3 linked regions of the Macaca fascicularis genome follow. The protein of the gene in region 2 interacts with the protein of the main gene of each other region in a pairwise test. Links are inferred from orthologs where the notes say so. Each region holds a gene or a part of one and is shown on either strand. Other genes may lie near its edges.

Evidence for each region.
Region 1: the proteins of CCDC136 (region 2) and CEP57L1 interact in binary tests that used the Homo sapiens proteins (3 or more experiments, as listed by UniProt). The two-hybrid records come from large-scale screens. The link is inferred for Macaca fascicularis from reciprocal best matches to the Homo sapiens genes CCDC136 and CEP57L1.
Region 3: the proteins of CCDC136 (region 2) and HDAC4 interact in binary tests that used the Homo sapiens proteins (3 or more experiments, as listed by UniProt). The two-hybrid records come from large-scale screens. The link is inferred for Macaca fascicularis from reciprocal best matches to the Homo sapiens genes CCDC136 and HDAC4.

Annotation. Positions count from the first base shown.
Region 1 is NC_088378.1:13,195,472-13,199,593, forward strand, and holds the start of CEP57L1 (centrosomal protein CEP57L1), read left to right. Parts: upstream 1-1,322; 5' UTR 1,323-1,403; intron 1,404-4,122. UniProt on the Homo sapiens protein: Centrosomal protein which may be required for microtubule attachment to centrosomes.
Region 2 is NC_088377.1:170,274,989-170,278,488, forward strand, and holds part of CCDC136 (coiled-coil domain-containing protein 136), read left to right. Parts: intron 1-694; coding exon 695-1,015; intron 1,016-1,885; coding exon of another isoform or gene 1,886-1,891; exon of another isoform or gene 1,892-2,518; coding exon of another isoform or gene 2,519-2,623; exon of another isoform or gene 2,624-2,856; coding exon of another isoform or gene 2,857-2,958; exon of another isoform or gene 2,959-2,963; intron 2,964-3,500. UniProt on the Homo sapiens protein: May play a role in acrosome formation in spermatogenesis and in fertilization.
Region 3 is NC_088386.1:135,306,147-135,310,264, forward strand, and holds the start of HDAC4 (histone deacetylase 4), read right to left. Parts: upstream 2,801-4,118; 5' UTR 2,758-2,800; exon of another isoform or gene 2,154-2,757; intron 1-2,153. UniProt on the Homo sapiens protein: Responsible for the deacetylation of lysine residues on the N-terminal part of the core histones (H2A, H2B, H3 and H4).

The sequences.
Region 1 (4,122 bases), on a different chromosome or scaffold from region 2:
AGAAATCAAATCGTCATGAAAACACACATATGGGTAACATTTGGAACCACTGGTGTCTTCAGCCGATCTACAAGCTAGATCACCCTCTCACCCTCTCCTTGTACACTAAAGGGCAGTCTTCCTTCTGGAAAACAAAGTTGGAAAGTTGCAACCTTGCAGCTCTGGCTTTGGTGGACGGAGAATTTCGGGGAAGCGTTCTCCTCCGTCTCGCGGGGTCAGCGGATATCCTCACGTTGTGGAGCTGTCAAATCCGTGCTCTGCCCCAAAAGGCTGGTAACAGTTGAACGCCCTCCAGCCATTCGGGGCTTTTTTGTCTGTGCAGCCACCGGGTTCTCTCGAGCTTTCCCACCCCGCCCCTCCTCCGACACCAGTCCCCGCCCTCCGCAGCTCCTCCCAGCGCCTCAGCAGCCGGCCGGGCGCCGGCAGGGAAGGCTCGCCGAACCCTGGCCCACTGGCCGCAGCGGCCGGAGGCTTTGGCGCTGCTGGAGGGCGGCAGTCTCGGGCAGCCGCTGTCTCGGCGGGCGGCGACGAAAAAAAGCGTCCCCAGCCCCGCCAATTCCGGACCCCCGGGAAGACGCTACTTCTCCGATCCCTGCACCCTCGCCCACCACCGCCGAGCCAGAGGGCATAGGGCGGCCCTGGCAATCCTCGAGCGCAGGGCTGGGCCGCGGAGCTGGCGGGGCGGCGGGGCCCAAGGCGCAAAGCCCGCCCTTCGCCCAGCCCCATCGGTGGGGATCAGCCCAGAGGGCGGGAGCAGGGAGGGGAGACGGGGTCCTCACCCCCAGCCCCTCCCCTTTCTCCGCCCGGCACAAACCGGGAGCCACCCCGGCCCCAGCGCCTTCTTCCCCGCCCAGGCAGACGCGACCCGCCGAGGCAAAGCCATTGGAAAAAGCCCCGCCCTCTGGCAGGCTACCTCCGGACCCCCAGTGCGCCGCGCGCGGCTGCCAACCGCTGCCGGCTGCTACGCATGCGTGACTTAGAACAGGGCACAAGCGCCTCCGGAGGCTCTAAGCTTGCGCCCTGGGGCGGTTTCCGTTCCCGGATGTTTGGAGTGTGTCCTGGAGAAGGGGAAGGAAAAAGTAAGGCGTAGAAGTACACTGAGACTTCGTCACACACAAAACAAGCACGACAAAGAAAAAGGGCACGAAGGGACTCCTGGACGAAATTGAGTCTACATTTAAGATCACCGTAAAAGTAGTGACGGCCTCTTTATTACTCCAAACCCCAGATTTAAGTCGGTGGGACGTCTTCGCGTTGACTTGTGGGGAATGTAGTTTTGATGCTGCCGGCGCGTTTTGTTTGCGACAGAAACTACAATCCCCAGAGGCCACTGCGACGTCGCCTGTGGCTGCCCGCGAACCAACGGTTAGCGGTGGCAGGGGCTGACTGAGAGTGTCTGCTTGGTAAGCACTGTAGGCTGGGTTGTCACCTTTCCTTGACAGGGTTTTTCCTTCCTCCATTTCCTCTGGGATTTTGGAGACGAAGCCATCTAGCGTGGCCTCCCTTAGTCCAAGGATTTTTCCAGTGGCTTGCGTGGGAAGGACTAGTCCAGCTGCCCAAGCGCGGGGTGTGGTGGGTGAGGCGAGGATTTAGGGATCCTGATCCCGAGGGTCGCAGGGAGCGGCCTAAGAAGGAAGGATGCTGTGGAAACTGGAGCTTCGGGCTGCTGCTTCTGCTTCCACCCTTTTCTGTGGGCAGGCGCGGGATGGATTTGGGATCTCTGCGCATTTGCACCTTTGTTTGCCTTTGCTTAGGGATGTGCTGGGCTTTATTTGCTTTTAGAAAGTCATTATTTGAGAAAAGTCGAGGTTTGAACGGCCATCAGTGGACTGATAATCGGTGTAGATTTTAATTCTTTATGTTGCAGAATTGCATTACATTAAATTCTAAAACTTTCATCTTGCTAGGCACTGAATATACAACAATGAGAAAGACAGTCTTATCCAGTTAAGAGGAACCAGTTGTTAGACATACAGTTACAATACTATATGATATCACTGGGATGCCTAGAAGGAGATCACTTAGCCCAGTCTTGGAAAGCCAGGGAAATCTTCATCCCAGCGGAAATGAAGATCAAAAGAACAGCATATGCTAAGGCCCAGAGCGAGAGATAGGGTACTTTCAGGAAACGTCAGTAAGCCAAATCATACATACTTGGCGGTGTGGGGTGGGAAGGGAAGGGTGCTTTTTGTGTATTGATGTACTTTGAAGCTACAAAGAGACACATATTGTGAATTCTTTACATTGTTTCTGTAAGTGAGCTATTTTTGAATAGATGCATAGTTCTGATGAATTGGTCGAATTTCAAAAGCCTGTTACATTCTAACACTTCTAGTTTGAATCCGAATTTTGAAAAGGGAATAACTTATGAATGTGATTGAGAAAACAAAACAAAACCATTCCGTTTTTATCTCCTTTTTGGGATGATCATCCTCTATCCAGCCCATAAAGGGTAGGGTAGTTTCTTAAGGCTGGGTGCCTTTTTATGCTGTAGTTAAATATGATCTCACGTGTACCCATGGCTTCACCAACACTTATGACTCTCAAATGAATAGCTCCATTCAGCTTCACCTCTCAGCTTTCACATATCTATCTCTTGGATATTTCTTCTTGGATATCTCAAAAGCATCTCAAACTCAACATTCCTAAAATCAAATACATAGTTATCTGTTACAAATCTGATTCTTTTTCAGTGTTCCTTATTTCAGCAAAGGACACTACCATCCATCTACTTGTGAAAATTTGAAAGCCAAACATTATTCTTTATTTCTTCTTGCCCTTCATACTTTTATGGCTAAATTATTACCAAGTTCTGCCAATCTTATCTCCCAAAATATCCTTCAAATATATTTTTCTCTCCACCTGTCTTCAAACTGTGGTAATCTCTCAAGACCACTACAGTAGCAGTTATTCACAATGACCCTCCTCCATTAGTTCTCCATTATAGCTACCAGAATGATTTTTTTGAAACTGCAGATCTGATCAGATTTTCTCTTGGTTAAAACTATTCAGTGGTGTCCTGCTACTGTTAAAATAAAGGCAAAACTCCTTTATAAAGCCTGACATCATCTGGTACTCTTTCAGACTCACTTCATATACTGCTCTCCAGATCAACCATACAGACCATTTTTCACTCATTGGTTCTCATATTCCATTTCACCCACACATTTACTCAACAAATTTCTGTTGAGTCCCTTTTATATAACAGGACATTGAGGATACAGCACTGACCACAATATATAAAAATTCTTACTGTCATAGAGCTTACATTCTACTGAGAAGAGATAGTAAATAAATATGTAAAACATTTAGTAAATGAAATGAAGACAAATGCAGTGGAGAATAAAACAACTGGGAAGGGGAATGGGGAGTGTCAGGATGTGAGGGGCTAGGTTTACTTTTAAATAAAGTGGTTAGAAAAGACCTAATCCAGAAGGGGACAATTGAGGAGATATGAAGTAGGGGAGGGAATAAACCATATAGATGCCTGGGCAAATAGCATTCTAATGAAGAGAGTTAGTGCAAAGGCAGGAGCCTGAGTGCACATTTGAGAAATAGCAAGAAGGCTAGTGTGGCTGGAACACAATGAGTACAAAGAGAATAACATGAGGTCACAGAGAAAGGAAGTAATGGTGGGAGAACATGTACGTGACTGAAAGGACTAACATTTTTAATTGAGTTGGGAAAGCATTGGAGAGTTTTGTGCAGATGAGGGCATGATCTGACTTTTTTAAAATGACTACTTTTCTTTCTCTCTCTCTCTCTTTCTTTTTCTCTCTCTCTTCGATGGAGTTTTGCTCTTGTTGCCCAGGCTGGAGTGCAATGGCACAATCTTGGCTCACTGCAACCTCCACCTCCCAAGTTTAAGCAATTCTTCATCCTTGGCCTCCCAAGTAGCTGGGATTACAGGCATGCACCACCATACCTGGCTAATTTTGTATTTTTAGTAGAGACAGGGTTTCACCATGTTGGTCAGGCTGGTCTCGAATTCCTGACCTCAAGTGATCCACCCACCTCAGCCTTGCAAAGTGCTGGATTACAGACATGAGCCACCGTGCCTGGCCTCTTTCTTTTTGCCTGAGGCAGAGTCTCACTGTGTCACCCAGGCTGCAGTGAAGTCAT
Region 2 (3,500 bases):
GCAGAAAGGAGGAGGAGATCCTGGGAAGAAGCATTGTCTCCACCACCCTTTCAACCAGGCAAGGGATTTGTAGAGAAGCTTCTGGGATCTCTGAAGTGTCTACAGTGGTTCCCATCTTAATGGAAAGTGGGTGCTCCCTTTTCCTGTGAAGCTATGGGGAGAGTGGAACACAGACAACTCAGACAACTCACATTGAACACAGACAACTCACATTGGGAGGTACAGCCCTAAAGGACCACAGCCCCTAGGCTGGACAACTCCTTCAGTTCACCCAACCCCATTTGCTGGGGCCCCTGTTCTTCCTGGGTTGCATGCCCAAGAGAAGGACCAAATAGATGAAGAGGGAGGAATTTGTTCAAAGTAGTTGTGTACTAATAAGTGAAAGAGGATTGGGTAAAAAAAGAGTCACTGTAGGGGTGGGAAGCAACAATTTAGGTGCACACCCAAGACTCTTTAGTTCTGGCAGCTGTTTGAAATGGCTTATTGGCCAACAGACATAGTGGTCCTGAGAGGTGAGGTGTGATGCCCTCTACATATGCTCAGAGGATTGGCTCACAGTCCCGGAGCACCGGGCTGCACCCTTGCACTCTGACATGCTGGAAGTCATGTTTCCTGGAGCTAGTACAGCATTGTCATGAGAGTAGGAGCTTCACAGGTAACGCAGCCCTCATCCTGCCCTACTCCCACCCCACAGAGTCTGGAGGTGGTGCTGTACTACAAAGCCAGCCAGAGGAAATTAGATGGACTAGCAAAAGAGGAGGAAAAGAAAGAGGAGATGAAAGAGGAAAAAAAGGAGGAAGTGAAAGAGGAAGCAAAGGAGCAGTGTGGGGATGAGCTAGTTGCTGAGCCAGCAGATCCTGGGGAAGCTAAATCCACAGAAGATCAGGAGGAAAATGAAGAGGACAAAGAGCAAGAGGAGAAGGAAGAAGACAGTGAAGAGGAGGAAGATGACATTGACTCTTCCCTTGAAAGTCCTGAAGAAAACAACCCCCTCAGACTTTCCGAGAGTAAAAAGGTAACCGGAGCCAAAGGCTAGATCAAGTGGGAAGTGGGATCTTGGGCTCAGGTACCTCAGAGTTAATGGGTGGCCCTGCCAAGGATAGATATCTCCAGGAGTGGAGGCCTCGCACTGTAAGGCACGGCCCTTCGGGGAGGTGGAGATGCAGAAGGGGGAGGCGAGAGCAGTCTGTCTGCAGGAAATCACGGGCTCAGCCCCATTTGCTGTGGAACCACCTCACAATGACCACCTTTTCTGGGAACCAACGTGGGGTCCCTGGAGTCCTTTCATTTACATAGTAGCCTTTGTTACCTTCCTTATGTGGGGAGCGTTCCCTCATCCCTCTTTCGGCACTGCAGGAAGGACATTGACAGCGTGAAGTCTACTTCAGGCCATTTTTGTCAGCCTGGGCAAGTCACTCAGTCCGGTTTTCCTATGGTGCCCTGTTAGGTTTAACCTTTGTTGTCGCTGTTAGGGGTGTGTCAGGGGATAATCTCTTCTTTGTAGGCTTGTGTCGCCCCCTGGATTCTGGGTATCACAGGACATGAAGGTGGGGCCTGGGAGTGATCAAGAGTGATAGTGAAAATATTTCACGTCTGTACAGTAGGAGCATAGACTAGTCCAAGGAGACCATCCCTAGCCCTACAGTTGCTAGATCACTGAGAGGTTGGGGTGGAGGTATCCTGGGATATATATGCTAGAATGCCAGGGGTAACTTACCAACAATATAGAAGTACTTCCATATTTTATTAACTGGTACATCTCTGCAGGTATGTAGCAACTGAATTCTTGCCCTGGGCTTAACTCAGGGCCAGAGTCTCTACAGAGTTAGAGTATTTCCTGTGTAAGTCCTCAGCTTACATTACAGGTTCTTTCTGTTCTAAACAGAGGTAAAGAAAAAAGCCTCTTGTCCAGTCAACTCTGAGGATATCTGGAATTTCCGGCAATTGGGTCTTCAGCACTGGCTAAGGATCCAGTGTGCAGTGCTCTGCTTACCTTGTGCCAGGGGACCATTACCTAAGATGTGAAAAGTCGGAGCCACTGCAGCCCCTCCCACTATCATGTTTCCTTGAGCTCATCATATTCCACCATGTGCTGGTTCAGAGCCTTTACCTTCGGTGCCAACATTTCTAAAGCTAGACCTGACTTTTCTACTTCAAATACATTCTATGTTTCTATATATGGAGAGATCCCTTTGCCCCGTGGGTCCTGCGTCTTTTGCAGGCAGCTCTAGGGCATGCGTATTACCACTTTGCAAAAGCAGTTTCTCTCCGGAAGACTGTTGCAGCGAAAGAACTAGCCCTTCTCCCTTGTCAGTTTGTTTTGGTGCATGTTGTTTTACAATGATATCATTAGATTCCTAGGCGATCAAAGGGACAAGAGCCCAAAATACTAAGAAACTTGATGGAAAGCAGGCTAGAACAAAGGGACAGGTGGCCTGGTAGAAGACTGGCTCTTCCTAGAGCAACCTAGGAAAAGTATCTGCACTACTCCACTAAGGAAGCTGTTTACTTTCTGCAGCATCACAAGAAAGGTCTAGGTGCAGATACGTCCTGCTTGACAAGATATGAGAGGTATATGATGAGACAGAAAGAAAACTGGACTCACCGCCTGACTTGGACCTAGCTGCTGCTTAACCCATTCAATTTTGCAATTCCTGCAGACTGCCGGTGGAAAGAACCAAGGCCCAGGCAGCAGAAAAGACATGCAACTGCTCTAGCTTACCTGTTTTTTAACCTCTTGATTCCTTTCTCTTTTCCCTTTGTTTTCTCATCTTCATTATCTGTTGGATCCATGTGTTTATGTCTCACATCTCCTGGTCTCTCCTCGTGCTTCTTTCTCATTTTGGTGTGTTGCAGTCATCCCCTACCCCCGATCCCCCCATCTTCTCCTTGCCTCTTGTAGGCCTGGTGGTCATCTCGGCTTTGCTCTGGTGCTGGTGGGCTGAGACGTCGTCCTAATGCAGGTACTGGTATTGCTTCCTCTCCTTCTGAGGGATAGAGGGAGGGTGCAGGTTGCCCTGGCCTCTCCTCTTTCCCTTTTCTCCCAGCTGCTTGCTTCTTGCTCGTACTATTTTACAACAGGTGATGCTCAGGTCTGAGTTTTAGTTCTGACTTTTCCTTGGGCTACTGCAAAGCCTGTGACATCTCTGAGCATGTCTTTGTAATGCATAGGAGGTTGGAATGCTTGCCAGAGACATGGTTTGAGTTTCAATCCTTGGCTGGGAAAAACTTGGCTAAGCCCAGCTCGGTTGCTACTGTCAAAGCTGCCTCACTACTTCTTTTTCCCCGCTCATCCTCTGTGTGATGGCTAGCCTGACCACTTCTGATGAGCTGATGTTTGTCTGCAAGGCTGGCCTGGACTCTCTTTGTCTTTAACTCCAGAGTCAAGTTCTCACTACTGTTGCTACCCAGGATGGCAAAATAAGGAATCCCTCTTCTGTTGGGGGAGAGAGGAGGTCTGAAGAGCTCTGATCCTCATGATCATCCCAGGGGCACTGGTA
Region 3 (4,118 bases), on a different chromosome or scaffold from region 2:
TGAGCTATGAAAGCCCAGCCGTTTTCAATAGAGAACGGTATGGACGAATTCTACAGGAGTGATGAAATGCTTCTTCTGCTCCGGCAATTAAGACAGCATAAAGTCGCCTTTCCTTTGGTGCCACCCCCAACATCAAAGGATTGGAATTCAAAGCCATTCATGCTGCATTGAAACCTCACAATGAAGCTGGAGAATGGAAGTCGATTACTGGGCATAAATATGCAGTAGTTAAAAGGAAAGAGTTATAACGAAATTAAATGCAGCAACCCCACAATGTGTGGAAACTTCCAGCACTAGAGCCCTCCTGGTAAACATCCATAGAGCATCCTTCCCAACCAGGTCTCTGGCCACAGAGAGTCCAGATGGGCTGCCTGAGCCGCACGTGGCCAGTGTGCCAGGTTGTTCTGCCCATCTTGCTACAGCAACAGCCCCCAAGGCCTCCGAGAACATGGCATTTGCGGATTTTTATTTTGCATGGCTAGGAAGCTGCTGAACACAGAACATTGTCCCTGGTTCAGGACTCCGAGGCCACATCTGCCCTTCGTCCCCAGGCCTTCCAGGCCTATGTGCAGTCCAGTCATCTTCCCTCTGCCCCGCCCCTTAGCCCAGGGCTCCCCGGGGGGCATGCCTGCTGCCAGCTCCCCTTGCAGAAGAAAGAACCCTAAAGAGGGCAGCGTTGCCTCTGCCTGCTGAGTACAGCCGGCTTCTTTTCTAATTGATTACTGCTCTCTTTAGGATGGGATTTGATCTCTAAAATAAAAGCCCAGAACACAGAAAGCTATAGAAGTCTTACAATGTGTTGGGGTGTGTGTTTTTAAGGCATGAAAATACTTCCCTCCCACACAAATGTGAGTTCTTCTGGGGAAAGATGCCACAGATCCCAGAGAGTAGAATATCTGGGAAGGCTCGATCAGTCTTAAAAATAGGTAATTGAACACAGATTTTAGAATTCACAGGAGCTACCTGAAAAAAAATTAAATTTCACATATTTTTGATATCCAAAACTCCATTCTGATGAAACTTCTAACTGGGTGGCATTCTGCATTTCCAATTATAATAGAGTAATTGTGTTGCCATAGTTACTGCAAAATTCTGCAATAACTTTTGTTGCTTTGTAACTGCTGTAGTGTATATTTGTGTACAAGCAGCTGAGTTTTCTTAATTCGATCTCCCTCCCTTCCACCCTCCCTTTCCCCAGTCACCACCACCACCTTTCCTGGCTGGGTCCTGAAACCACCACACCAGCCTTCTTTGGACAGTCCCGAAAATAATGCACAGAATTATCAGAAGCAATTAAAACTCCAGGCAACCACGATCATATTACAAAAGAAAAAGTGAAACCAGGTCAAGGTGCAAACCTGCCAGTATCCCCCCAGTCCTGCTGGGCTGGCGCTGGGCCAGGGCTGTTTACAGGTTTACTCCCAGGCCTTAACTGCTTCGGTGATTTGTGGGAATAAACAGAAAAGCCTGAATAGAGAAAAACGGGGCGGCAAAGTGACTACACAGGCCCTTTCCTCCCTCACGGAGAGCAAGCAGAACTGCTCTCAGCAAGCAATTAGGTAGGTCTCTACAGTCATGCAATTAGGATTTAGTTAAGAAAGTCATTAGTTTTAAAATAACTTAAGTTTAATTTCTGCAACGCTTTATTTGAAAATTGTGTCACAGCAGGTCAATTTACAACATGCAATAAAGAAAACACTCATATCAGCTGCCTCAAGTTATTACAAATTTTTGATGTGCATTAAATGAGTACACTGGGTTCCACCCCCGGCCTTTCCAACTGATACGCACGGTCTCCTGCTATAACAGTGTCAAATAATTCAACGCTCAATGTAAATACGAGATAATTTGCTTATGATTCCGTGGTGTGTTTTCGCAACGCGGGGAAACGCGGATCCCACCCCCGAGCTGGACCGGGCCCCGTCTCGGCCTGCGGGCGCCCTGCGGGCTGAGCCGAGGGGGTCCCGGGCAGCACCCCCGCCTCCCGCGAACCCCCAGGCGCTCGCAGCGGCGACGACACGCGAGGGGCCGCGGACCCCGGCAGGGACGTTTTTCTGCAAACTCACAGCATTTGACAAAGTTACATAAACGGCGCCCGCCCGGCCCCGGCGCCCGCCCGCCCCCGCCCTCACTCCCGGCGGCCCGGAGCCCACCTGCTCGGGGGGCGCGGGCCCGGCACCGGGCGACGGCGCCGCTGCCTGCCGTGCCCACCCCCGCGCCCCCGCCCCGGCGGGCGAGGCCGCCTCGCGGCGCGGCTGGAAAGGTCCAGAAGGGGCCGGGCGGCCCTGGGGACCGGCGGGTCCCACGGCGCGCGGCCCGCGCTGGCCCCCGCCTCCCACGGCCGCGCGCGGGGCGGGTGTGGACCGGCGGCGTCCACCTGCCGCGGGCTCCGAGGCCTGCAGGCTGCGCGGGGCGCGGGGCGGACGGCGGACAATGGCCCGCGGGCGCCGGGCCGGGGCTGCGCTTACCGCGGCGGGCGGCGGCGGCCGGCTCTAGCCCTGCTCGGGCGCTCCGCGCCGCATCTCCTCAGCCTGCGCCGCCACCCGCCGGCGCGCGGGCTCGGGCTCGGGCGGCGACAGCCGGGACGCGGCCGCGGCGCCGCCGGGGGCCCAGGCTGGGAGGCTGCTCGGGCGGCGGCGGCGGCGGCGGCGCGGGCGGGCGCGCGGGTTCGGGCTCGGGCTCGGGCGGCGGCGGGGACGGTGCTCCGCGGCGGCGGCCCCACAACCTCCCCTCCTCATTCACAAAAAATTGACCCACGTTGAACCATGATGCTTCTCCCCCCTCCAGCGTCGAGCCGGGCGGCGATAGGCCACCCTGCACGCCCGTCAGCCGACCCGGCCCCGCCCCGCCCGCCGGCGGCTCGGCAACCACTGGCTGCGGCAGCCTTGCGTCACCTCCCCATATGGGCCCCGCCCTCCCGCCTGGTTTCTAATGAAGAGCTCGTCAATTACGGCTCGGCCCCGCCTCCCGCCCGCCCGCCCCGGGCGCCTGGCCGGCCTTCCATTGGTCCGTTGAAACCTGCGCACGGCCCGTCTGCTCCCACCCCTCGCCCCGCGGCTGCCCAACCGCGGGGCCGGACGCCCCGTGAGCGGCGGAGAGGCTCCACCCCTGCCCGCCTCCCCGCACGCATCCTGGACCTCATTGGCTGCTGGAGCTGTCAATTCTAGGGGGCGGGGCGTACCAAAAGACGCTCCAGGCGCCAGCCTCTGGGTGCTTCGCGGTTGAGGAGGCGCAGAGACCCGGAGCCAGTAGTGACCGTAAACACGGGCCCCGGCCGTGTCTAGTCCCACTCGGTAGCCCGCATGGCTACCTAGCGGTCAGCACCGCGTGTTTGCGAGCCTAATTCGCGCTTAGAGGGCACACAATGGGGTGCAGGCTGAGGCGGGGAGCTGGCCAGGCCTCGCCGTTGCCTCCATCTTGGGTACTGGCAGTGGGTCACGTGGTGCTGCGTGCGCACCGAGGCGCAGGGCGGCCCGGTCACCGAGTGCGCAGGCGCCGCGGGCCTCGCCCAGCCCCGCGGCGGGAACGCGGCTGTCTGGGTGTGCATGGGGTGCAGGTCTGCCAGGCCTGCAACTGCTGCTGAGGGTCGTGGGATGCGCTCGTCGGGTCCCTGCTCAGGCGGAGGGAGCCCGGCCCGCCGCCAGGGTCTCGAGTCACGGGCCAGGCAGGCGTGGAGGTGGTGGGAACTCCGCACCGGCCGGGCGGGTGTTGTTTTAAGGCCGCAGAGCTTGGGGGGCTTGTGTTGAGTTAAAGGTCGGCCCGTAGATCCCCGCAAGCGCCTTTGGTTGCCAGCTGGTGTGGGCGGGAGTCTTCAGTGGCCACCCTCCTGCTGGTGATGTTTCCATTTCTTTCCAACAAGAGTGTGACAACTTTTAAACTTGGGTGCACACACTGTCCCCGGAATCCCGCGTTCCAGGGAGGAAGCGCCTTTGACAGCGCGCGCCGGTGCGTGGGGCCTGACGGCGTGGGCCCAGGGATGCGGACCTGGCGGGGATGAGCGTTCGCTTCGATTGTGGGCCATTCCTCTTAGATGAGCAAGGATCCGTTTTTACAGCATTCTCGACCTTTGATTCTTGGCGGGGGGGGGAAACTGTAGTTGTGTGGATAAAAATACAGTT